3 linked regions of the Sus scrofa genome follow. The protein of the gene in region 1 interacts with the protein of each later gene in a biochemical or structural test. Links are inferred from orthologs where the notes say so. Each region holds a gene or a part of one and is shown in the gene's direction. Other genes may lie near its edges. The genes, in order: RAP1A, RAPGEF2 and RAPGEF5.

Region 1 (10,771 bases):
GTGATAACTGTACTGGATACGCAGATGAAGAAGATTCCCATCATGGCAGAATGTTCTATTGGACAGTGCTGCCCTCTACACTTTGCAGATGAATTGGTACCGGGATGGAGAAGATAGGTTAAAGGCAGCTGAGATTTGGCGGATGAGTAACTGAGAAATATAGTGCCAGAAGGAGTTCCTGTTGTGGATCAGAAGTCACGAACCTGACATAGTGTCCATGAGGACGTGGGTTCGATCCCTGGCCTCACTCAGTGGGTTAAGGATCTGGCGTTGCCGTGAGCTGTGGTGTAGGTCACAGACATGGCTCAGATCCAGCGTTGCTGTGGCTGTGATATAGCCCAGCAGCCGTAGCTCTGATTTGACCCCTAGCCTGGGAACTCCCATATGCCGCGGGTACAACCCTAAAAACAATAAAAGGAAAAAAAGATAGTGCCGGGTGCAGGAAAGGAGAAACCAGGAGGAGGAGACGCTGGATGGAGGAGGAATTATATCCCTTACTTTCTGTCAAACCCCAGGAGGGACAAAGTATCTGCACAGATGCTCAGGTGAGTAAAGCAAAGCATGAGTGGGCTCTCCCAGGACTTATGAAGACACACCATCCCTTGCCCTCCAACCTCCCCCACCCACCCCCTCAGTATCAAGTTCGTTTATCCCCTCCTGTGCTCAGTTTCTCCCCGGCTTAGGCAGCTCCCTCCATCTCAGGTGGCTCCCAAGGACGGTGACAAGGCAGGAGCTGTGGGCTTGCTGTTTCCTCAACTCTAAGATGCCAGCCTGGACCCTCTTTTCTCACAGCTACCCTTGCTTCCTCTTTCCCAACCGCCTCACCCGCCTTCCCCCTGCTCCATCCTTGGAAAGTCCCCTTGGCCCCCTTATGTGACTGCTTCCTCTAGAACTAGCCTTCCCCACCCCCACCGCTCCCCGCTTCCTGGGACCACCAAACCATTAACCCCACGGCTTTTTCACTTGCCCTCTCTCCACTCCCAGCTTAGATTCTAAGGTCTACCCCATAACCATTCCCTGGCTTAGACCCCTCCCTGTCTCCTGACTTTCCCCAACAAAACCCAGCCATTGGCTTGTGGCTGCAGAAAAGTCGCACAGCCTCATTGAGGGGTCTCACTTTATTTTTTTATTTTTTATTTATTTTTTTAAATTTCAACTACTCCTCTTTCGAACTTCTGAACAGATTAATTTTTTTGTTTTTTTTTGTTTTTTTTTTTTTTGGTCTTTTGTCATTTTAGGGCCGCACCCAAGGCATAGGGAGGTTCCCAGGCTAGGGGTCTAATCGGAGCTGTAGCCACTGGACTACGCCAGAGCCACAGCAACTTGGGACCCGAGACTCATCTGCAACCTACACCACAGCTCACTGCAACACCGAATCCTTAACCCACTGAGCGAGGCCAGGGATCGAATCCGCAACCTCATGGTTCCTAGTCGGATTACGTTTACCACTGTGCCACGAGGGGATCTCACTTTAAACATAGGACCACCGGCTCTAGAAGGCTCTCAGCCTTGCTCATACTACATTTCTCTAGTAAGTCTTCCAACTTTGCAGGGAATTCTTTCTCACCTTAGTCCAGCTCCTTAAAGAGCCAGCAGCCCTTCCCCACTCACAGCCTTCTATTGCTTAGAATAAAGTGGAAACCTCATAGCCCTGATCTAATTCATCAAACCCAGTGAGGCAGTCAGCACAAAGAGTATTCGGTGCAAACTGGGAAAACACCCACCCAGAGTGAGTGAGTGAGTGAGCGTGTGCGTGTGTGTGCACACATGGGCAATGCAGAGGATATGCTATAAGGTACCACCTCTCCAGGTGGAGCAACTAGAAAAGACAATCCTTCATCCAGGTAGATTTGGCCTCAAAATTTAGTTGGCAGAACAGGGGCTGGATGTCAGTTCCTTCCTGCCTCCTTCTGCTCAGCAGTGGCCTGAACATGCCATCACCGCGTGTACTACCTGACCTGCCTGCATTTGCACCCACAGACTTTGCCTCCTCTCCAAAAACAGTGAGTGCACCTACTGTCCTTGCTCCTTTCCAAGGCCGACTCCTCCACTTCTTCGCTAGGTCCCTTTGCTTCTCAACTACCAGGGGACAAGCTTTCTCTAGCTCTCTCCTCTTTGGCACCATCATTCCCCGTGAAGGGTCATTCCAGCAAGAGACCAGTATTAACAGGAGATACCCGCCCTTAATCCCAAGTACGCCCCCTTTTCAGTTGTTCTTTTTAGCAAAGCTCCTGAAGAGCTGTTTAGACTTGCCATAAACCCTTTCTCTTCTTCATCTCCCCTGTCTTGTTAACAGACCCTAATTAGACTGTCTCCCCAGTGACTCCATTGGAACTGCTTTTGCCAAGGACATCAGCAACCTGCATCAGGTCAAATGCAGAGTTCAAACTCTCAGCCCTCATCAGCATTATTTGATAAGACTGATCGCTCCCACCTTCCTGAAACAATTCTCTTATCTTCCAACCCTCCACCCTTTCTTGGTGTTTCTCCTACCTGGTAGCTTCTCCATGTCTATGGAAACTCCAAAGGCTGGAGTTCATCTTTGTCCTCTGCTCTAGCTAGTCTCCCTCCCAAGTGATTTTATGTAGACTTAAGACTGAAAAAGCATCTACATACTGATGACTTCCAAATTCATATACTCAGGCTTACATATTCAATTGTTTACTCAACATCTTCACTTGGATGTAGAACATGCACCTTATGTAACATACACAAAACAGAATTCCTGATTTTTCCCCACCCCAAATTTTCTCCTCTTTAAGTCTTCCCCATCCCATTAAATAGTACCACCTTTACTGCATCCTTTAGGCCTGAACCTAAGAAGCAAACATGATCTTTTCGTTCCTTGACACGTTCTCTGCCAAATTGATTCCAATTCAAAAATGCACCTGAATACATTCAGACACACCTCGTCCAAGCTCCCATGAACAGCCTCTCTGCTGACATCTGTGCTTCCCTGTTGTGTATTTTACACACATGAGCCATGGTAACTTTGAAAATTGTGAATCAGATGTGGTCATTCCTCTGCTCACCCTCCCATGGCTCTCTGCTGCTCTTGTGACAGCCCATGAGGCTCCACTGGACCTGACCTCTTCTTCCGCACCTCTCTCAGCCCAACTACTACTACTCTCTGGCTAGCTGATCACCCCAAGCCATTCTGGCCATTTGTTGTTCTTGCTACATGCTCGGCTGTTCCCAACTCTGAGCTTAAGGCCAGAGATTTTCTTTCAGCTTATAAGGTCTCCCCTATGCCTTCTCCCCTCCCACATATTTTCTAAGCCCACTCCTTCATATCATACACTATGGGCTCAAAGGTCTCCTCTGAGGGGCAATATCTGGCCATCTATAAAGTCACTCCATTCCTGGCTTTATTTTTCTTCACACCACTTATCACTTCCTGAACTTTTTTTTTTTTTTTTGGTTTTTTTTTGCCATTTCTTGGGCTGCTCCTGCGGCATATGGCGGTTCCCAGGCTAGGGGTCTAATCGGAGCTGTAGCCACCAGCCTACGCCAGAGCCACGCAACGTGGGATCCGAGCCGTGTCTGCAACCTACACCACAGGTCACGGCAACACCGGATCCTTAACCCACTTAGCAAGGCCAGGGACCGAACCCGCAACCTCATGGTTCCTAGTCGGATTCGTTAACCACTGCGCCACGACGGGAACTCCAAAAGAGATTTTTTTTTTTTTTTTTTTTAGTTTTTGGATTTTATAGAGCCGCAGATACATCGTATGGAAGTTCCCAGGCTGGGGGTCTAATTGGAGCTGTAGCTGCTGGCCTATGCCACAGCCACAGCAATGCCAGATCCCAGCCTTGTCTGTGACCTACCGCTCAGCTCATGGCAATGCCGCATCCTTAACCCACTGAGCGAGGCCAGGGATCGAACCTGCGTCCTCACCGTTACTAATCAGATTTGTTTCCCTGAACCAAGATGGGGACTCCACTTTCTGAAATTTTTGTTCTACTTGTTTGTTTCAGTCTCCTCTCTCCCACTAGAATGCAAGCTCTACGAGGGCCTTTACTTGCCAATGGCATTATTCCCTGTGCCTGTCACATATGAGATGTTCAATTAGTACTTATCAAAAGGTTGTATTCCGTCCAAAATTCTATTACTCCAGAATCTTCGGACTATTCCTCATTTCCTTTCCGCACCCAACCGCCCAAGGCAAAACCGTAACTCCCGCTCCTCTCCTCAGGTCATAACTCTCCCGGTTCGTAACTCTCGCATCCCTTCCTGCGCGGCCCCTTTAAGCGGACTCCGGAACGCCAAAAGGAAGGCGGGGCCGAAACCTTGCCGACGCCGACTCGGAGGGGCGGGGCGGGACTTGGGGGCGTGGCCTGCGTGCTGCGTGCGTGCGCGTTCTGGAGGCGCCGCCGCCGCTCTCGAGGCCGCTGCCGCCGCCGTCGCCGCGCAGAGCCGGAGCAGGAGCCACGGCCGAGTGGAGGGAGGAGGAGGAGGAGGAGGTGGAGGAGGCGCCGGACCGGGGGGGTGAGTGAGGGGCGGGGAGCCGGAGCCGGCCTCAGAAGGAGCGGGGGGCGCGGGTCGGCCGAGCCGGGGCTGAGGCGGCTCCTGTTGCCGGTCAGTCCCCTGGCTCCCCCTTCCTCCTCTGCGTTCCCTCGGTGTCCGGGGCGGCGGCCCGGGGCCTGGCCGGCGGGAGGGGCCAGGACTTGGGGAGGCCCGGCCGCCGCCGCCGGGGCCAGAGCCAACCACGCCCGCGGACCGAGCCGGTGGACTGTGGCTGGGCCTGCGGGAGAGGGACGGGAGGGGCCCGGGCCGGGTGTGGGAGAGAAAGAGGACATTGTGTCCCCCACCCTCCAACTCCCCGAGGTGTCATGGCACAAGCCTATTTCCCTCGCCATCTCCCCGGACACAGTGCCCTCGCCCCTCACTGCCCGAGGGAGGTAGAAGATTGGACATCGCTGCCTTTTTCTTCTTGCGTGTCCCCAGACTAGGGTCAGATCTTCCTTCAAACCCAGCTCACCCTTTGGGGGGCAAGCACAGAGGGGGTTGGAGGGTTGGGTGAATTTTCTGTTCCTCCCTCGTCTGCTGGAGAGGTGAGGGTAGACCGGAGCAGTGTCCTCTCTGTGTTCACTTGTCAGGGTTCGGGGTCCCCCGTTCCTTTATTCCCCCAGTGCGCAGGGCTGACATCTCTACGCCCCACTCCATTTCCCAGCCCCTTTCCCGCCCTCTTTGCCCAACGTCTTCCGTGGCATGCCATGTGTTCGCCTTTTCGGGCGTTGCTTTTCTTGGGTCTCTGCTTCTTTCCTGAATTTTATTAGTGCAGAGGTCACCGTGTGATTCTTGTCTTCCTTCAAACTGGGACTGGTAGGAGTGTCTTTTGCCCCCTGGTTCAGGAAGTTAAGGACAGCGTTTTCGGCTGAATTGTGTAACTTACTGCTGTGGGGAGAACTTGAGGGGAAGACACTTGTGCCTGAAAAGTGGAATCAGCTCACGGTGCTAAGAACCAGAGTTTAGGGGACCTTTTGACCTCTTGGAAAAAGAACTAGCGTCGAGGAGTTATGTATTCCTTTTGGGGAGGGAAAATGGTTTTGTCACTGCTTCGAAGGGAGGAAGGTAGAAGAAATGAAAGAGAATAACAGGGCAGGAGGTTAATGGGTCACAGCTGTACAGGTGGCCACAGTTTTCTGCTTCCTGGGTGTGAGATGATAATTCTTTCTGTTTTTAGCACAGTTAAGAGTGAAGTATCCGCTCTTAGTTTTAACGTGGGGCTCCTACCTTCAAAAGCATGCTGAAGGGCAGTCTCTAAAGGGATGCTGCTGGAAACAGGATTTGGAAACTTTATTTTGGTTTCCTGTCAGAGTGTGGGGGTGGGCATGCATGTGTGTAGTTTTTCTTCTCTTGTGATGTAATTGATAATCTGCACTATTTTGACATAATTGACACTAAATCAGGTTTCGAGCTTCTTTATTTTGATTTCTTGAACACTTACTTTCTGTTTTGAAATTGTATTTGCGTTAATTGAAATTCTTTTAGTCTGGTGTTTCAGTAAATCTTGTTTCCTCGGTATTTTGAATTATGTGCCACAAAATGTGATTAGGTGTAAGGTACTGAGGTTCATACAGTGCCTGGCACATGCTAGGCACTTGGTCTTTCTTGTTTGTTTGTTTTTGTGGCACTTGATATTTCTTGAATGAATTGAATGATTACAAAGATATGTCTAGGTATTTCCATATCTTCTATCCTTTTGAGAGGCAGCTCAAATTAGAATATGGCCTTTAGCTCCCAGTATATAAAATAGTAATTATTAACCTTTTCTGGGCTACTGACACCTTTGAGAATATAATGAAATGTGTAGATGCTCTCCTCAGGAAGGAGGTAATAGGCATTTTTGCACAAAATTTTGCATTCAGTTTCAGGGACCCTCTGAAGCCAACCATGGGTAGTTGTCTTAAAAGTAAACTGGAATCCCTGAGTATTCAGTTCCGTATTAAAACTGTTCAAAAGCCTTTGTTCATCTTCTGTTTGAGTTCAGGAATGACAAACCTACCCTTATAGACTAAATTTGGGTCTTTGGGAACAAGATTTAAGAGTGATTTTGTATTGCAATCTTATGGGGAAAAGTTCTCATTAATATAACTATTACCAGTAGTTTTTGAACTACTAATAATTTTAAACAAATGGCTTTGAAGGAAATTATTATAGTCACTTTTGGCAGCTTAAAATCATGATCATGACCGACTTATGATTTTTATTGTACAAACTCCTTTTTAGCAACATGATCCACACTTGAAAATGTTGACAGATGATTTTTCTCTTCTCTTCCAAGCTTGTTTATGTGCATGTTTTTTCATGTAGTTAACAACATTCAATATTAATTTAACACGTGCTTTTTTGAATGCCTATTATGTGAATAAAACAAAGTCCATGCTGTCACAGAGCTTTATTCTAATTAGGAGAGATGGGCCACAACCAAATAAATGTAGAATAAGTCAGGTGATAAGAGGTGTGCCGAAGAGTAAAGTAGGTTGAGGGGATGGAGGGGAACAGTGGCAAAGAAGGCAGTCAGGGAAGACATGAGGCTGGAGCACAGACCTGAAGGAAGTGAGAGATGTTTGCTGTCTTGGGGCAGAAGGTTACAGGCAGAGGGCTGTAAGTGCAAAGACCACTCAGTGTACTTGGCGTTTTGGAGAACACCTGGGCCGCCAGTCAGCAAGAGGGAAAGTGAGAGAGCTTGAGGTTTGGAGAAGTTGCCGAGGCCACTGTACAGCTTTGTAGGCCGTGGTCAGAACTTTGGATTTTACTTTGAATGAGATGGGAAACCACTAGAAGAGAGACCTGTTCTGACTTAACGTTTATGGGCATCATTCCGGCTGCTGTGTGGAAATCAGCTTGGGGGATGGGGCAAGAGTGGAAGCAGGAAGACCAAATAGGAGGTTAATAATCTTCATTTTAAACCCTTTTCAGTGGTTGCAAAATATTCCATCTACCTGCTGTTGGGCATATTTCCCCCTATTGAAAATAACAATGAACACTTTGTGTATGCAGCATTTTCTTTCTTTTTGAATATTTCCTTGGAATTGATTTCCAGAAGAAGCACTGTTGAATCAAAGTATATAAATATGCTTGTCTTCTTGGTATATCTATTCCTACAGAGAGTGGGTTGTACTAGTTAAAGTGACAGCCACAGTTGTTGATCTTAAGTTTCATGCAGTGTTACTTGCTTTGGGTAGTGGTAGTAGTAGTAGTAGTTGTAGTAGTAGTTTGAATTTTCCAGTAACTCACGTGAATTCTTGTTTTAGCTTTCCTTTTTAACATTTAACAAGGGGGTGCTAATTGTTGGGGATACAGATTTGTCTTAGACAGGGTTTTCTTCACTTAGGGAATTTTACGTTCTGTCGTAGTTTGTAGTCTAATAGTTAAATTCAACTTCAGATTTTGCCAGTGTTTACTGTTACTCCAGAACTTTGTTAGTATATGGTTGATGATCTTTTATATAAAATAGACATTGCAATCAAGCACCTAATTTTTCATATTGATAATTCTTTTTTTCCTTACTTATTTTTAATGGTATCTGCAATTTGTTTAATTTCTGTTTTTTATGTCTTCAGAATCTTACATCTCTGACAGCCCTGTGTTTTGTTCTTTGCAATAAATTATGCAACTAGTATTTAGTTGAGGACTCTCACAGTTGAATTTTTAAATTGTTGTAATTCTTTGTAAGTTATTCAAAACACAGAGACTATTGTTTCTCTTAAATAAGGCTAGCATTGCATCTTTGAAATTTTATTTCTATTATAAAAGGGGATGATGCCAGTCTGTTTTGATAGAGTTATACCACCATGAGGGCATTGCTCAGCATTTCTGGGTCCGAAATCTAAATGGCTTGATTTGGCATGAGCAGAAACATCTATGAAGTCAGGGAGTTGAACTCCTGGAGTTACCTGCAAGCACCTAGCATTGCGTCTGACACATGCTAGAGACCCAGCAAATGTTCATTGAACCTCCCGTAACCTCTCAGCTCCCAGTTCTACAATTCTTCTATTTTAGAACATCAATAAAAATATCTTGTATAAAGCGTTTATATCTTAATATTGTGGTGAGTTTAAAATGGCAAACGTAAACTGACTTCCTACCAGTGTTCCTTTCAAATTGAACTCATCAGTTTTAAAAAAGAGTTATGGTATATTGCCAAGTATTTTCTGCTCATTCTGATATCTATACTGCTGCATGACTTAATGCCAAATTCACATTTTATGGAAATGATTAACGTTAAGCATAAAGCCCTTTAAGTTGTCTTACGTTACTGAGACAGATGAAGCAGCCATTTCCCCCCATTTGTGTGTGTGTGTGGAATTTGGAGGTTACACATGGTAGTTTTTATGTGCTTTTCAGTCTTTCATATACAGAGAAATATTGGCCCATTTACATTTTGAATTTTTGTGATAATGGTTATGAATATGCAATGAATGATTCACATACTCTCTCTCCATTTCCTTTTGCACTTAGTTTTGAGATGACTAGTTAGGAAGGCAGTTTGTTTTAAAGTTAAATGATCTTGATTAGTATTGAACCTATAAATTTAGCTTATCACGATGTTTTGATCAATTAGGCAGTTCGAGAACTGAGCCATGCTCTCATTTCCTCTTGAAAATAGGCTTTTTAGAGCTAGAAGGTACAGGCATACATCAATTAAAAAAGGAAATTGTAGAGTTCCTGCTGCGGTGCAGTGGGTTAAGAATCTGGCTGCAGCAGCTCTGGTCGCAGCAGAGGCACAGGTTTGAGCCCTGGCCTGGTGCAGTGTATTGACCTGGCGTTGCCACAGCTGTGATGTAGGTTGCAGCTGTGGCTCAGATTCAGTCCCTGGCCTGGGAACTTCCATATGCCAGAGGAGTAGCCATAATATTTAAAAAAAAGGAAATTGTGTGTGATGGTTAAGGTGGAGTTGAAACAAGAAATTGTACCTTTACAGATGGTCTAAAAATCATCTTTTTATTGTAACTTTCAGAAATATGTAATATAGACATGGACGTTTAAATATGTACTGTGAAATTAACTTCAGTCAGTCATTAGACTAATGGCTTTTTTTTTTGTTTGTTTTAAGATTCTGGACTTACTTTAGGTTAGATGAATCTGGAAAAGAAGTTTTTTTTGCATATCTAGTTTTCCCAGATAGAGATAGTTTCCTATCTCCAGCCTAATTATTTAGTTCATATTGCTAAAGAGTGGTTCAAAGTGTGGAAAGGTAAGATTAACCAAATTTGGAATTAAATATGTAGTTCTCTGTTTGGTTTCAGAAAATATTTATTTTTTATTTTATTTTACTTTTTTAGGGCCACACTCCTGGCACATGGGGGTTCCCAGGCTAGGGGTCAAATTGGAGCTGTAGCCGATGGCCTACACCACAACTCACATCAATGCCGGATCCTTAACCCAGTGAGCAAGGCCAGGGATTGAACCTGCGTCCTCATGGATGCTAGTCAGATTCGTTTCCACAGAGCCACGATGGAACTCCCAGAATATATTTAAATAAGCCGTATTTCATAAGACTATATTAAACTGTACATTATAACTGATAAAAGACACACTTGGATTAATTAAAACTTGGTGCCTCACTTTGAATTCACAAGTATATGTGTATAACATTCATGGTTGTTTGCAGTGCTGTGTTATACTCACTTATTCTGGTTGTAAAAAATAACTTTGCTTAGGCTAGAACTGTGGCTTAGTTATCAGCAACAAAAGTGTAAAGTTAGAGAGACACAGAGAACTGGGTACAACTGTTTTTTTGGACAAAGCCCAAATGCAGCTTGTGAGATTCTGAGTAGTGGTAGGAATTCTTTCTTATTGCAGACTGAGTGTTTCAGATTTGTCAGATGTGTGATTCTGAGAGTAAATTCATTCACTATTTTCAATGATATTTTTAAATTCATTTATAAATAGGATCATTCTGTTCTAGACAAGTTGGCTGTATTATAGAACATTAAGCAAGCAGACATAACTTAATTATTTTTGCAGCTATTTAACACTAATCTTTGGATCTCATGTAGTTTTCAGTATCTAGCCCAAACCATTGATGTCTTTTGAATTACCTTTTAAATTCCATTGTGTAGTTGTGAAAATATTGCATAATTTCATTAATAGATTTCAGATTCAGTCATTGAACAGATGTTTGAATGACCCAAACATCCCACTGTTTGATGGAAACTGAGATGTGAGGCTGTAGTTTCTACTTTAAGGAATTTATAGTCTAGTAATTTGTTTTGTTTGCCAGAACCTGACATGTGTTTTATAAATAAATGTTGTATTT
Region 2 (10,533 bases), on another chromosome or scaffold:
TGTAGTTTGGATAAGAGTCCTTTATCAGATGTCTTTTTCAAATATTCTTTCCCAGCCTGTGGCTTGTCTTCTAGTTCTCTTCAGATTGCCTTTTACAGAGCAGAAGTTTTTAATTTTAGTGAAGTCCTGCTCATCTGTTACTTCTTTTCATGTATCATGTCTCTGGTGTTGTATCTGAAAAGGCATTGCCATACTCAAGGTCATCTACATTTTCTCATATTATCTTATAGAGGTTTTATAGTTACTGCATTTTACATTTAGATCTATGATCCACTGTGAGTTAATTTTTGTGAATGGCGTATGGTCCACTCCTAGATTCATTCTCTTATATGTGGATGTCCATTTGTTGAGTACCATGTGTTGAAGAGACTGTCTTTTGCTCTGTTATATTGCCTTCTCTCCTTTGTCAAAGATCCACTTTCACTTTTTTAGATTTTTTATTTTTTAAATGCTTTTTATTTTTTCCATTATAGCTGGTTTACAGTGTTCTGTCAATTCTCCACTGTACAGCAAATTGACCCAGTCACACATACAAACATACATTCTTTTTCTCACATTATCCTCCATCATGCTGCATCATAGGTGACTAGATATAATTCCCAGTGCCATACAGCAGCATCTCATTGCCTATCCACTCCAAAGGCAACAGCCTGCATCTGCCATCTCCAGATTCCCAGTCACCATTTACTTTTAAATTCTTAGTTTGTCTGTTATAGAAACATATTTGGGATTTGGATAGGAACTAGTTTACGAGATCAGATATGGTTTTGCTAATGTCCACTCCCAGTCACTGGGGATGTGGGTCATTCAGACAGTGTGTGTATCTGCCACATGTAGCACACAGGGTGCTGCAAGTCCACTGGCATGCAGACTGACATGGCACCAGCCCTCATGGAGCGCATTTTGTAGCAGGGGGAGCAGACACTCACTGCTCAGGTACTCTCATGATTGAATGTAAAATTGAAGCATGACAGAGATGCACAATATCATGGTCACTTTGAGAGCATTTCACCAGTGTGTGTTGAGGGGTGGAGGAGAGTCAGTCAGGAAAGGAAGAGAGGAGAGTTGGAGGCAGAGGAAATAACATGTGGAAAGATCCTCTTGCTTCTTCAAGGAAGCAGGAGGCCTGAATGTGGAGTGAGTCTTGATGACATGTGCAGTCTGCAGACTTTGTCCTGAGAGCAATGGGAAGCCATTGATGTATCTGGATTTGAAGTGGTGGCTTCATAGATGAGAGTGAAATGACCAGATTTTAGTTTCTGAAAGATCTCAGAAGCAGTATGTTAAACTGGGTTGAGTGGATGAGGATAGAACTGAATCCAGGCAGTTCATTAAGGGGACTTTTAGAGATTTGAAGCTCCCCCCCCAAAAAAAAGATTGGAATGCATGATAGCAGAGATGAAGAAAAATTTGAGTTTTAGAACAGGAAGAGTACTTAACTCGCGGGATACTGCGATGGATTGAACATGGAGAAGGGTATTAAGGGTTACTTGTCAGTGTCAGTTGTATAATGGGACCATAGTGGTCCTTCATTGGAGAAGTCAGTGGGATAGAGGATGATGGAAGCCAAAGTAGGTGATTCTTAAGAGCTTTGGTTGTGCAGTAGGGAAGAGGTTAGACTGTAGCCACAGGAGAATCGATGATCCAGGGAAGGCTTCTGGTTTATGTTTTGTTTTGAGATGGGAGAGACCTGAACATAAGTAAAAGCCTATGCAAAGAACCTCTAGTTGTGGGGAAGAAGTTGAATATATGGGGGGCCGGGGTTGGGGGACTGGAAAATAGATAACATAGGCAGTCAATGAGAGGGACATTGGGGAGAAGGATCCAAAATCATGATGTAGGGGAATGGATGCTCTTAGATGTGAGGGGAAAGGAAGGAGGATAATCAGTGCGAGTGCCATGTCAGGCAAGTGGATGAGAAGCACAAGGCAGAAAGGGCCCTCAGTCCTAAAGTCTGTTACTCAAGTTGCTGGACTTTCCGTATCTACCTTCTACTCTATATACCATTAATAGACCATGAGAAACAGACCAGTGCTTCAAAGTTACAATGTCAGCTCTAATGCTATCTTTTCAAATGACCTACTGACCTGGGTGAAATTACGTTTGTGATAGAATACCACGCCTGTATTAAATTTCAACTTTCTACCTCTAAAAGAACTTTGATTTTTTTTTTTTTTAAAGTCTGAGTGTGTTTAGTTTTATATTATTTGCAAGGTGCTGTGTGTGTATGGGTGTTTGTGAAAGTCACATCTTCTAAATTTATACAGAGCTTGTTAAATGTGCATTTTGTGAATTTGGGGTGGACACTTGTTTCCTGTAGCATGTGCTTTTTGAGGGTCTGGAAGAGGTCACATCCATCCCTGTATCTTCACCTTGGTGAAAAATCGTATTTTTAGTCCAAAGCTATTCAAGTAAGTCCTGCTCTGTTTTCCCACCCTGTCTTCAGTGATATTATTTGGAGTCAGCAATCAATGGATTCCATCCCTCTGAGACTTGCTTAACCTACAGCTGCTGATAAAATACAGGCAAGCGCTCATTCCTTTTTCTGAATCGTCCATTGCTACCTTAATGAGTGAAATGGTTAAGTAGAGGAGGGGGCGAGCCTTAAGGAATGTGTGTACCATTTGAGCTGAATATTTCAGTGTATATAGGGAGAGGGAGGGTGAGAGAGAAATCCACTTACATCACTAGAACTGCATTGAGTGTGAGCCTTGCAGGGTAAGAGACAGACCACAGTGTCTTGCTTTCTGCAGGAAGCAGCAATGCCGTCTGTTTCCTAAGAGGAATTTTTTATTTAGAAAAGGAAGCTTTCTCTCTACCCAGGAAATGGCTTTCCTTGTGCGTTGCTATGCCAACTGCCTGCAGCCATGGTCCTCCAAAGTAAGCACAATAATGTAATTATATTGGTGTGTTGCATTCAGACTCATGCTTCTGAGTGTATGTGTGTATGTGTACGTGTGTGTACATGTGCTGTGTTTCTGTTCGTGACTCTTGCTGGCAGTCATGCTTGTGCCGAGTGTGAGGGACAGACATCATTAGATTAAATGTCCATCAGTGTCATGCCGCAGAGATTAATTGTGCAAACTTGGTTAGTGGAGCGGGACAGGGATCACTGGCCGTGCTCCGTCAGCATCCTTGGCAGCCAGGGAGGAGGTCCCGATTCACACGCTCTGCCCTGATTCTTTCTCTCTCTCTTCCTTTCTCCTTTTTTTCCTCTTGGTCAGAGGGGTCCCTATGTGTGACTGCAAATGAGACAAGAGTATTAACAATGCTCGGCTGAGTGCTGGGGACGGGCCCCTCCACCGCCCTAATACCGTTCTGTAGGAAGCCTTTGGAGGGGAGTCTGTGTGCAGTCAGCCATTTTAGCTTTTTTTTTTTTTTTTTTTTTTTCCTCCTTTTCTTGTGCCTCTTGTTCTTCAGTCTCAGAAATGATCTTGTTCTCCGGGAAGACCAGGAGCTGTATAAGGTTTCCTCTGTCTCGCCCTAGCCTGAGATGGTTAGGGTTTCAGTGCTATAAAAATGGAGACGAGCAGGGTTGTTCAGATTCCTTTTCGGGTCCACAAGTGTGAGGGTTTGCAGTCACCAGTCCTGACACTTGAAGCTGCAGCTGGCTCTCCTTTTTTTTTTTTTTTTTTTTTTTTTTTTTCCTCCTCTGTTTCTTTTTTCTTTTAATCCAATGCTGTCAAGGGTGACTTGCCGTCCATGAGACATTGGTCCATGATGTGTCAATTCAGTCCAGCCTATGTTCCTTCGTTATGAAACCACTAGCAGTGCCAGCTAACCATGGAGTTATGGGCCAGCAGGAGAAACATCCAGTAAGTATCGCAGAGACTGCTTGTGTTTCCATGGCACGTCAGAGAGAACTGCTTTAAAACGGGAATGATTGCTGCTGCTCTTCAGGGAAGGCAGGTGCTTTAGAGGGGGTAATAGTATGCTTGGAGGAGGGAGGGTAGGTTACAACTGGCTTGTTCTTCCAATTTTGTGGCTATGTTAAAAAAAAAAAAAAATTTAACCAAGAGCAGCAGTTCATTTAAAGCCCGATCACGAGCACTGGAAGTATTGGACAGCTGATTTTTGTAATCAGAAATCAGAGCTTGACCATTCAGCTTTAACTGAGTACTCAAGATGGTTTCTTAAAAATATGTTTATAGTCAAACTTAATGAGAGCTCGTGCAAAGGTTATCAGGAATGGATGTCTGTAGTAAGGAATTCACACATAGGTTGGAGGGAGGGAAGGAGGGCTTTGGTTATTGATTTGGTAATAAAACGATCAGGGGTGCTCATCTTAACATGTATTAATAGATAATGAAAACACAGAATTTTTTTTCAGTGCCACGGTGTTGCTTCTTTATAATTGGTCCCATGAGTCAGCTCTGCGTTTGTCATGCTGAAATCCCATAGGCGGCAACCGCAGTTTGTGAGAAACACTTTTTTATGGCTACTTCCAAGTCTGACCCTCCCGTTCCCATGCTGCTTTCATGTCACCATGTTGGAAGTTTTCTGCCGTCACACTAATTCATATGTGCTGTATATAACCCCCCAATGAAAAGGCATCCATTTAGGCAGCTTATATAGGAGTAAATCAAAGTATTTCTTAAATGTCCGTTTTTATATCCTGGCATCTGACAAGTATCATATTAGAGGGTAGGAATTATCTTTTATATATTCTAAAAAGGTTGAGATGTTAAACTTAAAAAATGGAGACATGTTGCCAAGGCTTTGAAAATTTATAGGCGGAAGGGCGTGACTTAGAATATTTAGATGCTTAGGTTAATGGGTATAATTTGCTTTTGTTCACCTTTATGAGCAAAATTAGTAACTGGATGTGAGAGGTTTTCTTAGATGAGGTGACTCTCAGGCAGCATTCCACATTCCCAGAGACCACAGGATGTATCCTAGGGCATTGGCTGTGTCAGAAGCCTGTTATATGAGGCAGCGCTGAGAGCCCCACCCCCTTGCAATGGTGGTACCTTGCTAATTAAATCTCTTCGGATCAGATCCCCCAAAAGACCAGCCTTATCCTTAATTTCACTAATAAGAAAGGTTGTTATAGAGAAGTTCCCTTATGGTTCAGTTTTATTAACAGGCCCTTTGATGTGAAGCTCCTCTGTATTCATGATTTTTCCAGGTGTGAGGAAGCCTATTACTTAAATAACACTTGAGGAGCCTTAGAAGCAAAGTTCAAATCTCAGGCTCTTTAGTCCTCTTTCTCATATATCCTTTCTCAAGATGGGGGAGGGGGTATTTAAATTAATAGGATAATTTTAATGAACCAGGAAAATTTTTTTGTGTGTGTGTCTTTTTACGGCTGTACCAATGGCATATGGAGGTTCCCAGGCTAGGGGTCTAATCGGGGGAGCTGTAGCTGCCGGCTTACGCCACAGCAATGCAGGATCCCAGCCGCATCTGTGACCTATACTACAGCTCATGGCAACGCCAGATCCTTAACCCACTGAGCAAGGCCAGGGATGGAACCCGCAACCTCATGGTTCCTAGTCAGATTCGTTTCCACTGCACCAGATGGAAACTCCCAGGAAAATTGTTAATGTTCTAGAATTAGGTTGTGATGATGGTTGTGCAACTATAAATATAATAAAATTTAAAAAAAATCAGCAACAAAAAGAAAAGTGGTAAGACTTTTTTCTGATGGGGAGGGAAAAGTATGGCTAGATTTACAAACATGAGCATTTGGGTCTGTTAATACCAGAGGCGCCTATTCCATAAGTATGTTTGTTTCCTGGCAATTTTATGCTTTGCTGAATTTGAGGGTAATGCAATGATAGAAGTAACCCCAGCCATAAGATAACTTTGAATCAAGTCATTTCTAGAAGACGCATCAGTGGTATTCTCCATGATACTTTTGCTACAAATTAAAGTCCTGGAGTTTGCCATCCCAGACCATCCTGTGAGGCAGAGTTGTCAGTTGATGCTGTCAGCATATTGCATACCTCTGGTACATCTAGGTGGGTCCTCTGGTGATCCAGGTTTTGCTGTTTAAGAAGCAGACTTTTACGATGTTCATTATGTGTGAAGAATTGAATAGGGGAATAGTGACCCTGGCTCTCACCGGACAGATGACTCAGTAAATACTTGTCAATAATGAGTGAGATGCCCCTCTTTTGACCTATGAGGTTTTATGAGGGTAATGTCAAAGCTAGTTTTAAATGCGTAAAATTTGGTAATTTCACAAATACTTTCATTTTTGCTTCTTCAAGAAGTTTTTAAGTGATTTGGCTTCTTTGGCTACAGAAGGGAGTGAGATACTAAAAAGCAAAAGCATTAAATTGGGGGATTTTTGAAAAAGAAAACTATGCCTGGGCACAAGTAGTCAACCCAGTTTTTCTACCTAGGGAGAATCTTTCAGGTTTTAGGGCTTTCAGGTTTTACACGCATTATCTCAGCTGCTGGCACTTAATAGGTGTGCGAGAAACACCTTTGAATTTTTCATCTAAAGTGATTTGGGGATGATGACATCCCATCCCTTGAACCCTTTCAGCTAGAACATCTTATATTTCACCTCCTTTGGTCCCAACCTCTGGTCCATGTGGCCAGGTGCTGACACTGAGGTGAGGACGAGAATGCCCCTAGCTCTGGGCTCCGTTTTCCTTGCCATCTAGCACTCTATTAGTCATCAGAGGAGCCTTCTGCTTTTGTGGATTTTGACAATAAAAGGAGATTATTAACATTTAAAAAATGTATGATAGAACTGCATTTCAGACAGCCTACTATGGAGCACTTGTTGTATAAACTGTTAATAGGTGTTACATGAGAAAAATTTCATAGGCTTAGTTGGTAGAATCTGGGATAACAGGAAAAGTGTCGTTGCTCCTTTTACCAACCTTTCCATGTTTTACCCACTCCTCACCTATCAAATTAACCAATGGGAGTAGTGTTCCTTGAGTGTGCTTTTGGAAATTGTGTGCTATAGGATAACTTAGAAACTTTGTAAATTTTTTTAATGGATCACTTAAAATAAATTAGCCAGATGCTATCAAACTGATCGCCTATGTTCCAGCTGCACATTTTTATAGAAATTATTGATATGTGTCATGTGCTATACTAATAATAAATAAGACTTCAGTTATGATTAAATGATAATGTTTAAAAGTGGTGTATGTAAGAAAATGCTCACCTAAATGCAGGAATAAATATCCATAGCTGTCATTTATTGAGCACTTATTGGATGACGACTGGCGCTATATTCCATATTATCTGACTTAATTATTACAAGCCCCTAAAGACAGATTTATTATCACCTTTTTAGAAATGATGAAAATGAGGCTTAGCAAGATTAAATACCTTTTTTCCAAGGACTAGAAAGTGGTGGAGCCATCATTGGAACCCAAGTGTGTCTGATTTCATAGCTCTGCTTTAACCACCATCTGCTTCTCCTGATGTGGCCAAATTAAGCCTAAATTAGGTGTGTGGATTGTATGGTTACCAGAGCTGATACTGTCAGAATACACGGCTTGAAAAAAATGCTTGCTTTTCCTCAGCTTTTCCTATTTTTCCTGGTGTGTGTGTGATGTTCCAAGTTAATGCAAAAGCACACCAATATCATGTTCAAAATTATTTTATAAAACTTTCACAACAGTAGTTTCATAAAGTATTTGAGAGATGTGATCAGTAATGCTTCTCTCCTTTATTTTCTTGAGGCTTGAGTTGGGATGATCAGAAGTAGATGCAGTTTAGCCCAATTCCTTCCTCCCTCTACACTTCTCTGCATGACCCTGTTGTATACCTCCTTTCTCTCTCTCTCTTTTTTTTTTCTTTTTAGGGCTGCACCTGCAGCAAGTGGAAGTTCCCAGGCTAGGGGTTGAATTGGAGCTATAGCCGCAGCAACATGGGATCTGAGCTGTGTCTGCGAACTATACCACAGCTCACCGAGCGAGGCCAGGGATTGGACCTGCATCCTCATGGATCCTGGTTAGGTTTGTTAACTGCTGAGCCATGAAGGGAACTCCTACCTTCTCATTTTAATGGTTGCTTATTTACCTCTTTAAACACAAACTTGATGCTTCATCTTCTGCACCTTTTGCAACTTCCAATGGGCCCTAAGGGGCCACTTGAAGCACTGCACCTTTTTGTCCTGTCTCCCGGTTTCTGCTTCAGGGAAGATTGCATCTTTCCTGGAACCCAACTTCGGTTCATGACCACCTCTGTCAGGTCCACCCTGGCTGTGACTTAGCTGTAGCCCCAAGCATCAGCGTCATCATTTTATGAGTCCAAGTTCCCACTGGTCATTGAGGCCCTCTGGAATATACAATCTCTTATTTAGGAGCATAGTTTTTCTTCTCCAGCTATGCTTTTTTCCATGAAAACAAGATGCTCTGATCATAGACATTAAGGGCTCATTTTCTTTTCCCATTTCTCAGCCTGCAGTGCTCAGGCTTGACTTTCATTTGCTCCCTATCTCCTTATATTCATCTCTGTTTCTTCTGAATGATGATTTAGTGACACCTAACACATAATCCTTCATTTTATTAATTCTTCAAGTTGGTGCCATCAATTGGTTTGGTCTTTATGGTTAGATGGGACATGGTGTCTTGAGGGGATTCTCCACCTTCCTCAAACCAGGTGTGAAGATGCGGTTGGAATTCGAAACTGTTTATCAACTGTTAGGAGGACAGACTAGAGAAGGCTTTTCTAAGATGGAAAAATAACAGGTGAGGGACCAAGGCAGGGAGAAGTAGAGGGGGGTTAGAAGGTTAAGGGGAAAAATAATGAAGTCACCTTTGTTGGAATGGATTACCTTAGGGAGGGTAGGTCCATACGGATGATAGACAGGATGGTGTTAGGATTCCTCACAAATGAATGGCTGTAATTTAAGATCCAGCAAAAAGTGTAAGGTCCTCTTTCCCACCCCAACCCCCTTCTGTCTTTAACCGGAAGAGGCTTACTAACACTCAATTTTAAGGAAATTGCTTGTAATCTACCATGACAATCTGACCTGGTCTGTAAACATTGGGAAGAGTGTCTTTTTAATATAATTAGATTGATACATTTTCCTTAGCAGCATAGAAAATAGCACCAAGGTTAATTTTAGCTGTTACGCCTCTTTTGGGTTAAGACTCTACCTTTTCTATATTTGATCTTTATTTTGTCTATTATGACAGATATATTTCCTGAGATGAAATAAACTTATCTCTCTTCCACTGTGCTAGCTAACAGAGGCCTGAGAGGAAGCAATATCTTATTGTTTTATTCAAGAACAAGGTCATCTTGCCTTGGATTTAGGCCAAGAAACCTTGGCAACAAATAATAGATCTTTTGACACCTTTAGAAGTTAAGAAATGTATGTTAGAAACTTGCCAATGCATTGCCTACACTATTTATCTGTAGAAGATTGAAAAAAGGTCTATCTCATTGTAGGACATATTAAAGAAAAATCCTGACTTAGTCGAAAGGGGAAGTATACGTCCCATCCTTGTTTTAAATATTGTTTAGTAATGATCCATTTAAATATAGACTACTTAAAAATCAAATCAAGATTAGTGGAAAAGAGTGATCAATTGAAAAAAATAACTTGAAATGCATCTTATTATTATGTCAGTTATTCTCCTTTAACTGTTTAACCATAGTAAGATTAGAATTATACTTATTTTTCATTTAAAATATATTTTATGTTTCAAACACTTAATTTAAACCAGAAAAAAATACTCTGTAAATTTGTCATGTATGTTTATCTATCCTGAGATAACCTGAAATTTCTTTGGGCCATTTCCTTGATTTTAGGCTTGACCACCCTCTTAAAATATTTTATTCGAGTCATCTGTTTAAGAATCCTTCCAAGGGTGATGGTTCAGTTTTCTTCTTTTTCCTGTGCTTCATAATCATGTAAAAAAATATTTTCATTTAATTTAAATCCTGTACTTTTTAATGCTCACTTTATGTACCTAGTTTTAAAAATAATATCTTATTACTGTCATATCTATAGCAATCTTTTCCAAACCTTTGAAAACTTTTCCTATTTAGATCATTTTATCATTATCTATACACTTTGTTTGAATTATGATTGTTATTAGCTTTAACAAATTTAAAAACAAAAGGAGTATCTGGGTGTAAGAGAGATATACTTGTGGGAGAGTGTGCAAGTGTGTGTGTGTGTGTGTGTGTGTGTGTGTGTGTGTGAGAGAGAGAGAGAGAGAGAGAGAGAGAGAGAGAGAGAGAGAGATTTAGCCCCCACAGCCGCAAGTTTGTCCTTAGGGTCTCTGTTAATATCCCATCCTAAGATCTTTGCTTTCTCTGACCTTCTTATTTTCCTCATCATTAAGAAATGGTCTTTGGAGTTCTCTTTGTGGCTTAGCGGTTAATGAACCCGACTAGGATCTATGATGATTCGGGTTCTATCCCTGGCCTCACTCAGTGGGTTAAGGATACAGCGTTGCCGTGAGCTGTGGTGTAGGTCACAGATGTGGCTTGGATCTGATATTGTTGTGGCTGTGGCGTAGGCCAGCAGTCACAGCTCCGATTTGACCCCTAGCCTGGGAACCCCCATAGCCGCAAGTGAGGCCCTAAAAAGCAAAAATAAAT
Region 3 (10,073 bases), on another chromosome or scaffold:
ATGTTCCCGCTAACCCTGTAAAGTTTGGAGAGGCTGGGTATCTTCCTACAGCAAAGTCAAGGAGAAGGCTAGGATTTCAGTCCAGTTAGGTTTGACTCTGGAGCTCCTGCACCTTCCCTTCATGTGTACATCATGAGGAAGAAGAGGAGAGGGAAGCCATCTATCTTACTTGGGCCTTCTGGGTCCTAAGTGTCTTTCTGCAGATCACTGGGCCCATGTCTGTGTATGGTGTAATTCCATCAGTGGAACATGACAGGATGCTGAACAGCATCTTTGAGTAAATAATGAGATTGATGTGACTGGACCCTTCCTCACTGAAGTAGGATCAAACGTGCACTTTCTATGGTCTTCTGGTAATGGCAGGACCTGCACTTGAATTGTCTTCAACCCCCCTCCTCCCAACACACATACTGATTCTCACTTGGTTCCCTCCTGTGCCTTCCCAGGCTCTCTTCTGCTGTGGTCCAGGGCCTTGGAAGAGTTTTAGGGGATAAATAGGTACTGGGAAGCATGTTCCACTTGAGCAAAATGCCATCCTGTGTTGGGATGCTTCCCTTCTTGAAATTTTTTCGAGTCACCTAGAATTTCCCCACTGGAGTCTTCATTTAGGTATTTCATCCCCAAGAGAGCAGCTGAAATGGAACATTGTAAGGGGAGAAAAACACGTGAAACTGCTTGTATCCACTCTACTTGTGCATAGATTTTTTAGTCTTCTTGGAAGACTGGAATTCATAGTCCTGAATGAATGGAACAGAGGAATAGTGTTTCTTAAAGGGCACATTGGATTACCTTGGATAACCAGAGAGCAATGTCAGGGTAAGGGCACATTTAGGGAGAAAATAAGAGGGATAAAAAGCCAAGTGAAAATATCCTTACACCTCCAAATTGAAAAGCAGAGATCTCTATTACTTCCCAACTCGTGGCTCTTAGGATGTCTGCAGGGCAGCGTGGAGTCCATCTGGCCCCAGTCTGGCCAAACCAATCCCTGAGAAGCCCAGGCTCTCTCCCACCCATCTCAGCACCTCGGTGTTTGTACACACATCATTCATTCTGCCGTTACTGAGCTCTACCCTGTATCCACACTGAGGGTACAAGGGCAATTTGTACCTTGACCTATGCTGAAGAGAATCAAGTCTGTGGAAAAGCTCATGAAGGTCTTTAGTCATTTTTTAAATTAGGAAACCTTTTTGTAAATGTAAAAGTTTGAAAATGTCAATAATTTATTTTGCAGTTCAAAAATAGAGATTAATATTTGGAATCTGAAATTTTCTCTATCCTGCTTTGACATTTATTTTTGCAAAGCCCTCTTTTTTTTTTTTTTCCAAATCATTAACTATTTTAACATTAACTATTCAGGTCCAGCTCCTCAAATGCGAGAATTTCCATTTTAATTAGAAAATATCACATATTTTGAAAAGATGCCAAATAATTTTTAATCAATTTAACATTTAACAATGGCAGTAGATTTAAAGCTGTGATGACATTTAATAATTTTATGCCAGATTTTAAGGAAATACTTTTATTACCAAACTCACAGCTACTGCAGGGAAGCAACTGATACTTTAAAATAATTGTCCACCATATAAATGAAGTAACTTTCATTTTATTTCCTGTCTAATTTTTTTTTTTCATTTGCTTTCCATGAGCATTTTAATAAAATTTGTCAGTGTATGTCTGGGATGAGACTCGTTAAACATATTTCCTGTAAAAGCCTTGTCTGTCTTTATTGAAGTGCACCGTGACATTTCTTTTGTTTGTTTTTATACTAGCCCTGCTGGCACATTAATTCTTACCAGAAGCCAAAGTGACTTCAGGGCTTTTGCTTTCATTATGCTGTCGGCTGGGGCAGTGTTTTATAATCAGATTTGTGCATGCACGTCTCTCTCTCTCTCTCTCTCTCTCTCTCTCTCTCTCTCTCTCTCTCTCTCGGGCGGGGCGGAGGGGGGCACCACAGTGCAGTATCATTCATCACATTCTTTTGCTTCCAAGGCTGTTTCCTAAATTGGCTGTAACTCATTGAAGGTGAACAGATCAGAGAAAATATGAAGTGCACTCAAACAAGATGACTTTTCTAATGTGGGCTTCTAGTGGCTTTCTGCAGCCAGCCACTTCAGTGCCCAACTTGTAGGGGTTTTACTGAGGATCCTTTTGCTTCTCTCTGCTGGTTTAGAATCCGTTCGCAGACAGTGAGGAGTCACAGCAAAGGTCGATTAGGATTTTGGGAATGAACACTTGGGATCTCGCTCTGGAATTGATGAATTTTGATTGGAGCCTCTTTAATTCAATTCACGAGGTAAGACTCGAAATGATAAAATAAGTGCCAGTGCTGTTTTAACTGTGGATTCTTTTTGAAGAATATTTGTGTGTGACTAGGTTTTAAGAAGATCCATCATCTAGTGATATAGTTAGGCTTTAGGATGCCAGGGCCCCCAGAAATATTTGGGGACTTTACATATATTGAAAGACTGACCCAAACCTAGGAAAATCAGAATACAGGACCAGGCTTTATTTGTACTTAATACAATTGTATGTTTGTGTAATGTAGCATAAATATGCTATATTTTTTTGCTTGAAAACATGTATTCATATATATGCTTACGTATATAAAGTTCTAATGGGATTTAAGAGACATTTTACATTTGATACCTTTGATATTGGCTTTTTATTTTTTCTATGAGCTTTACAGTACTTTAAGAATCACATTTATAAATGCACCTACACACACATTTCTAAGAACATTCTATAAATTTAGACTATATATATTGTGAGTCTTCAAGTACTTGAAAATTTTGAGATATATTTCAAATGTGTATGTCCATCACCCTCTCCCTTGAGAACAGCTTAAACATTTATTAAACAATAGATGAGGAGCAAAATGGTACTGACAATGAATAAACATAGCCAGTAGAAAGACTCAGAAATCAGGAGATGAAAAATGAGGCACCTCTTGCTACATACGGTTTGTTGATTTGCTTTGCTTTCTTGTGAACTATTTCATACAAAAAGGCCTTTCCTTCTGAAGAAGGAACTTGGGCCCAATGTAGGGACCCCCAAGCTTCATTTTCGTTTTGTAACATCTTTTAAATATCATCATGATTTTTTGCCAACAACATTCCAACATGATTATTTAAATTTGAGTAAATCGTGAACTCATTCAAGCTGAATGAGTTGAAACTTGGAAATGTTGGTAGAGTGGGGTGCCCCTGCTCATGGATGCTTATGCCGTGGAAGGATGTGAATTACTCCTGCAAATACACACATACACACACACAGGCACTCCCCTCCAATTAGAAACAAATTTCTTCCATTGCTTTACATGTGATCCATCCATATCAATAGTTACTGGTCTAACTCAATTTTGTAAGTTTTGTTCCTTGTCCTAATCTCACTCTCTATCTGTTATTTAACAGTGTCTTATATCAGTGGTTCTCAGAGTGGGTACCCAGATCTGCATCAGCAGGACACCTGGGAACTTGTTAGAAATGCACATTTTTGGCCAGACCGCAGACCTGTTGACTCAGAAAATTTAGAGGATGGGGCCCAGCAATCTGTGTGGTTTTTGTTTTTAATTTTTTTATGGCTGCGCCCTCAGCATATGGAAGTTCCTTGGCCAGGGATTGAATCCAAGCTACAGCTGCGACCTACACCTCAGCTGCAGCAATGCCAGATCCTTTAATCCACTGCACCAGGCTAGGGATTGAACATGCACTTCCACAGCGACTTGAACTGCTGCAGTCAGATTCTTAATCACAGCAGGAACTCCAGCAATCTGTGCTTTATTTAACAGGCCTCCAGGTGATTCTGGTTCATGCTGAAATGTGAAAACCCATGTCTAGAAACTCTACCTGTGAGGGTCCAATGTGCATCTTAACGGATACTAGTGATAATCTTTTTCACTTGAAGTTGCCTCTATAACAAGTTTGGAGAGTTGGGGTTTGATTCAGCTCGTGACTTAAACTATTTTATTTTATTTTATTTTTGCTTTTTAGGGCTGCACCCGTGGCATATGGAGATTCCCAGGCTAGGGGTTGAATCAGAGCTGCCAGCCTATGCCGTAGCCACAGCAATACGGGATCCAAGCCAGGTCTGAGACCTACACGTATAGCTCATGGCAAGCAACACTGGATCCTTAACCCACTGAGCGAGGCCAGGGATCAAACCTGTGTCCTCATGGATGCTAGTCGCATTTGTTTCTTCTGAGCCACGATGGGAACTCCTGACCTAAACTTTAGAACGTCTTAGATTTTCATGAAAAGCATCATCTTTGCATTCTAAAAAATTACATTTATGTAATGATTCTACGAGAACATTATTTCATGAGGAATTTCTAAAAGTCAAGGTAAATTGCCTTGAATTTAATACACTGTTATTATGATATGACAGGGGTTACTGAAAGTAGCTCTTAAAGATGGATTGAGGGAGTTCCCGTCGTGGCTCAGTGGTAACAATCCTGACTAGTATCCATGAGGATGCAGGTTCGATCCTTGCCTTGCTCAGTTGGTTAAGGATATGGTGTTGCCGTGAGCTGTGGCGTAGGTCGTAGATGCATCTCAGATCCCATGTTGCTGTGGCTGTGGTGTAGGCCTGCAGCCACAGCTCCAATTCTACCCTTAGCCTGGAAACTTCCATATGCCACAGGTGCAGCCCTAAAAAGACAAAAAATAGATTGAGGAGTTCCCTTATGGCATAGTGGGTTAAGGATCCACAGTTGTCTCTGCAGCACCTCAGGTTGCTGCTGTGGGGTGGGTTCAATCCTTGGCCGGGATATTTCCATATGCTGTGGGCACAGCAAAAAAAAAAAAAAGTGTATTGAATTTTGTATCAACTTGACTCTGTGCTGTAAAAATAAACACTGGCATGAATACACTGTCTTTCAGCAAGAGCTGATCTACTTCACGTTCAGCAGACAAGGAAGTGGGGAGCACACGGTGAACCTCAGCCTTCTGCTTCAGAGATGCAATGAAGTCCAGCTCTGGGTGGCCACGGAGATTCTCCTCTGCAGCCAGCTAGGCAAGCGAGTGCAGCTGGTGAAAAAATTCATCAAAATTGCTGCTCAGTGAGTTTCTAGTGGTTAAAAATGCAATTCCTCTCCTCTCCTTGAGAGGGTACATTTTTTCCCCTTATGACAATAACTGGCTCTCCCTGTCCCCTGCACACTATCACCCAAGCCTGCACATGTGTTGTTGGCCCTGCCAAGAATGGCCACTTCCATCTAGCAGATTGCTGTCATTCAAGACCTAAGTCATATGTTGCTTCCTTCCTAAAATCATCCTTGACTTTCAAACGCAGAATCAGCTGCTCCCTACCCCAGCTTCCCCATATCAGGCACACAGGCTTTTTTCCTTTTTTAAAAATTTCTTTATTATATTGATTAAACCTAACTCTTTGTGTAGGATTCCTTCATTAGGCTGTGTTAGCTTCCAGAGGGCAGGGACCATTTCTAATCGATCATTGTGCCTGGGGTGCCTGGTACTGAACTTGGTAAATAGCAGTGACTCAGGAAGGTTGTTTGAATGACATTTTAGTAACTTCCTGTGAGCATCTCTCAAAATACCAGATTATTATCCTGAGACTACTCCTGGGACAGCTTCCCAACAGAAATAGACAACATGAATCTCAATCTTTCCCACTTCCTTCTACCTTCTGATCTTCCCATTTTTTTTCTTTTTTCTTTAAGTTTTTTTTTTTTTTTTAAATCAAAGCATTTTTGAGTACATGTCAGTGTAATATATTTAGGAAATATGTTCTGATCATTTAACTATATTTGCATATCTATCCAGGGCAGGGTGGGGAAATAAGAGTGAACCTACTCTGCCTTCAAGGACTTCTCAGTCTACTGGGGGGGACACTTTCTATAACTCAAATGGCTAATTTGCAAAATAGACGTGGAGGGGGTGCCCTCTTATAAGATGAAATTCTTCTGGGGGCTTTAGGGGATGGGAAATTTATATGCCAAGGGTATGGGAAAGGAGGATTAGACAAATTTTTGGAAGAAAGTCGCATTTGAAGCTATCTTTAAATTCTGGGTAGGAATTCAAAAGAGCACACGCTCCACAGAGGTCAAACTCAGCAGAGGAGAGAAGCAGTGAAGTTCCTTGGAGGCTGAGAGATGGTGGTCAGAGAAAGGAACCCCTTCCAGTTTGGCCAGAGTGAAAGGCATTTGTCATGCAGTTGTGGAAGACCGATCTGAAAAGGAAGATGCTTTGACAAAGTTGTTAAGGATGTTGAATTTCAGATGGAGGAGTTTGGACTGAATTGAGAAGGCAGTGAGGATTCTCTGAAAAGTTTTTGTGCAGGAGATGGAGATGATCCAAGTTGTTCTGCAGGAAGGTTGATCTGGAAGTAGCACACAGGCTGAATTGTTGGCAAGGAGACCCCAGAAGCAGGGTGTTCTGTTGACTTAGGTGAGAGAATAGCAGTGCCTGACCTGCTGTTTGATGTGACTGGGAATCGAAGGCGAGATAGGTAACAGCTAGACCTCAGTCTTGAACTCTTCTAGAGTAAACAGTCTTTTTTTTTTTTTTTTTTTTTTAATTTGACCAGTACATTGTCTATAATAGCCTGTGAAGGGTGAGGCTCTTTGGGATCAAAAACTTTCTTTCTTTCTTTTTTTTTTTGGTCTTTTTGGGGCCATACCTGCGGCATATGGAGGTTCCCAGGCTAGGGGTCGAATCAGAGCTGTAGCCTCTGGCCAACACCACCGCCACAGCAGTGCCAGATCCCAGCCGTGTCTGCAGCCTACACCACAGCCCACGGAAACGCTGGATCCTTAACCCACTGAGCGAGGCCAGGGATTGAACCTGCAACCTCATGGTTCTTAGTTGGATTCGTTTCTGCTGCACCACAACAGGAACTCCTCAAAAACTTTCTTATAAAGGCCCCTTACTTGGTGAAATGGGACATTAACATCCCAAGGACTAAAATGACACCACATAGTTTAGTTCCCAGTGTAAGATTATATCCATCCTCAGGGAAATGAAATATGTATAGTCACGTCTTCTGTGCATGGCCTCATGCCCTTGGATTATTTGCTGAGCTGGTCTCTATTCCTAGCAGGTAGAGTAGAATGCCAACAGAAACATAAAAGTTACATTCTTCATAATCAAACTGGTAGGAATAGCCCAGGAAAAACAGTGATTTCCATGATCCTGAAGCATCTTCCCTGCCTAAGGCATCCTATTTGCATATTCATTATTTCCTTCCTTCTTACCGGTCCCATCCCCCACCTCTGTGGATTGAGTGGATTTTATATCTTCACACAGACAAAGGAGTCTTTGCTAATCTGGAATGTGTTAATGTCAGATAGTCTGTTCTTATCTTGGAGTGAATGGACCTTGGTAAAGGAAGACTCCAGACTGGAATGGTAATCATATTTGTACTACATCAATTTGTCGTATAGAGAAATCATTTCTATATTAATTTTTTCTTTTTACAGAGGGAATTATATGTGGGTTATTATTTTTTTTAATCTTAAGTATGACCAAAAAAGAGATCTGAACCAGGAAAATTGTTTATGGGGAGCTAAAACATCAAAAGATGGGAATTATGGAGTTCCCATTGTGGTGCAACAGAAACGAATCCAACTAAGATCCATGAGGATGCGGGTTCGATCCCTGGCCTCGCTCTGTGGGTTAAGGATCCCGTGTTGCCATGAGCTGTGCTGCAGGTCGCAGACTCAGGTCAGATCCTCTGTTGCTACGGCTGTGGTGCAGGTCAGCAGCTGCAGCTCCAACTTGACCCCTAGTCTGGGAATTTCCATATGCCATGGGTGTGGCCCTAAAAAGCAAAAAAAAAAAAAAAAAAAAAATTTTAAAAGGTGGAATTATATCTAAGATTTCATGTCAGGTGTTCCCATCATGGCTCAGTGGTTAACGAATCCAACTAGGAACCATGAGGTTTTGGGTTTGATCCCTGGCCTTGCTCAGTGGGTTAAGGATCTGGTGTTACCGTGAGCTGTGGTATAGATCGCAGATGCGGCTCGGATCCCGCGTTGCTGTGACTCTGGTATAGGCCAGTGGCTCCAGCTCCAATTCGACCCCTAGCCTGGGAACCTCTATATGCCACAGGAGCGGCCCTAGAAAAGGCAAAAAAGACCAAAAAAAAAAAAAAAATTTCATGTCAGTAAGTGATTTTGAATACAAAGAAGGAGAATAAACTTTTTATAATGAATAATAATAAAATCATTTCCCCTGAAAGTTTTGCAAAAGTTTATGCATTTGAGTGATGGGCAGAATATACAAATGTCTAGTGGGAAATGACAGACCCAGCGGGACTTCCATCATGAAGTTAGGAGGCAGGACTGGGAGTGAAGGAAAGCATCTGGTGGAGATGCTTCTGGCCCAGGGATGGCCTAGGCCTGTTCTCACTGGTGACAGAGCCTTGGCAGAGGAGCCTGGTACTTCATGCCATCACATAGAGAGATGGAGCTGACTCAGGGCTGTTCTGGCCTGTGTGAACTTTCCAGGGTATGATGGGACAAAGGGTGGAATGAGGGAAATGAGTGGCAAAAGGGAAGCAGAGCTGCAGTGTGGATGCCTTTAGGCAGGGTTTCTCTAAAACAGGTGGGTTTCTAAATCATAGACCAGGAAGTATCTTAAAGCAGGGTCCACGCAGGAGAAAGTTGGTAGAAACCAGATGAAGGGGCCAGTCAGACTGAGTTTCAAGTCCTCTTGCCTAACAGGCTGAGTCCAAAGCTGGACAGGAAGATTATGAGGGGACAGATCATGCCCAGTGGAGGCTCAGCAGTGAGGGGCTTGCATTACTGGGTTCACCCTGATATTTGGGACACTAGGTATGGAGGCAGCAGTGCCTTTCCAGGTTCTCCTGTTAATGAGGATAGAATTTCCAGACTGTCCCCCAGCATGACCCCCACTGCCTGATGCCCAGGCACAGCTGTACTGGGCAGTGTCCAGTCCTCGAGGCTGGCTCTGGGAGCTGACCAGTTCAGACAAGACCAGCCAGGACACAGCCAGCTCTATAGATTACCACTCTCAGATCCCAAACCAGTTTCCTGGTTCTGAACTCAATGCTCATATACACACCTCTGTGACTGGAAATTGGTATAGTTTGGAGGGGGGCACAGAAGTTTGTAATATGTGTTGAAAACCTGTAAAGTCATAATAGCTTTTGATCAATCATGTAGAGACTGGAAGTCAAGCTTAATTTTTAAAAATGACAGTAAAAAGTTTTATACACAAAAGATATCAATTGTGGCATTCTGTTTAGAGTTGGAATGAGTTGAAAATAATTTAAATGTCAACAATAATGGAATAAGTAAACAAATGATGAAATATGTTTTTGACGAAGTGTTCTTTAGCCATTAATGATAACAGTGAAGGAACCATAATATATAACAAAGTATGTAAATAAAAACAAGATTCAGAATTGTGTGTATGCTGTCCCCAGATTCCATCTGAGACATTGTTGGAGAGATGACATCTGAGGGCTGCTCAGGCAACACACACGAGGTACTTTTTTATGCACCCAGCTTACTGCTAATCACTTTCATATTTATCAAGTTAGGGTAATTTTTTTAATTTTAAAGACATGCCTATTTTCCAGTAAGTCCCAGATAAAGGAGTGTCTGGACTTCACAGGCTGTTGCAGGTGACCTGGATGTCCATCCTCCCTCTGCTATTCTAAGCTCCCCCCACCTCCTGTCTGGCTTCGAAAATTAGGGGAGTTTTGATAGATTAAATTGAAGGGCAGGATTGACATTCTGCAGAGCAGATAACCTTGCAGAATGACTGGAGCTCAATGTGACCTTTTTGCATTTTATTTCCTTTTTTCCTTAAATTAGAAACATGGAACAGTGTCCCCATAATATATGTGATATTTTATTTATGTATGTATTTATTTTTGTCTTTTTAGAATCACACCTGTGGCATATGGAAGTTGCCAGGCTTGCAGTGGAATCAGAGCTATAGCTGCCAGCCACAGCAATGCCAGATCTGAGCCATGTCTGTACCCTACACTGCAGCTTGCAGCAGCGCCCAATCCTTAACCCACTGAGGCCAGGGGTTGAACCGCATCCTCATGGACACTAGCCAAATTTGTTCCCACTGAGCCATGAC

What was found.
Region 2: the proteins of RAP1A (region 1) and RAPGEF2 form a complex in vitro, tested with the Homo sapiens proteins (2 studies listed by BioGRID and IntAct, with this or other methods). The link is inferred for Sus scrofa from reciprocal best matches to the Homo sapiens genes RAP1A and RAPGEF2.
Region 3: of the proteins of RAP1A (region 1) and RAPGEF5, one has a biochemical effect on the other in vitro, tested with the Homo sapiens proteins (2 studies listed by BioGRID). The link is inferred for Sus scrofa from reciprocal best matches to the Homo sapiens genes RAP1A and RAPGEF5.

Annotation. Positions count from the first base shown.
Region 1 is NC_010446.5:108,744,553-108,755,323, reverse strand, and holds the start of RAP1A (ras-related protein Rap-1A), read left to right. Parts: upstream 1-4,371; 5' UTR 4,372-4,491; intron 4,492-4,562; exon of another isoform or gene 4,563-4,581; intron 4,582-5,285; exon of another isoform or gene 5,286-5,328; intron 5,329-10,771. UniProt on the Homo sapiens protein: Counteracts the mitogenic function of Ras, at least partly because it can interact with Ras GAPs and RAF in a competitive manner. Together with ITGB1BP1, regulates KRIT1 localization to microtubules and membranes.
Region 2 is NC_010450.4:48,180,140-48,190,672, forward strand, and holds the start of RAPGEF2 (rap guanine nucleotide exchange factor 2), read left to right. Parts: upstream 1-3,378; 5' UTR 3,379-3,755; coding exon 3,756-3,815; intron 3,816-10,533. UniProt on the Homo sapiens protein: Functions as a guanine nucleotide exchange factor (GEF), which activates Rap and Ras family of small GTPases by exchanging bound GDP for free GTP in a cAMP-dependent manner.
Region 3 is NC_010451.4:90,983,626-90,993,698, reverse strand, and holds part of RAPGEF5 (rap guanine nucleotide exchange factor 5), read left to right. Parts: intron 1-2,170; coding exon 2,171-2,293; intron 2,294-4,877; coding exon 4,878-5,056; intron 5,057-10,073. UniProt on the Homo sapiens protein: Guanine nucleotide exchange factor (GEF) for RAP1A, RAP2A and MRAS/M-Ras-GTP. Its association with MRAS inhibits Rap1 activation.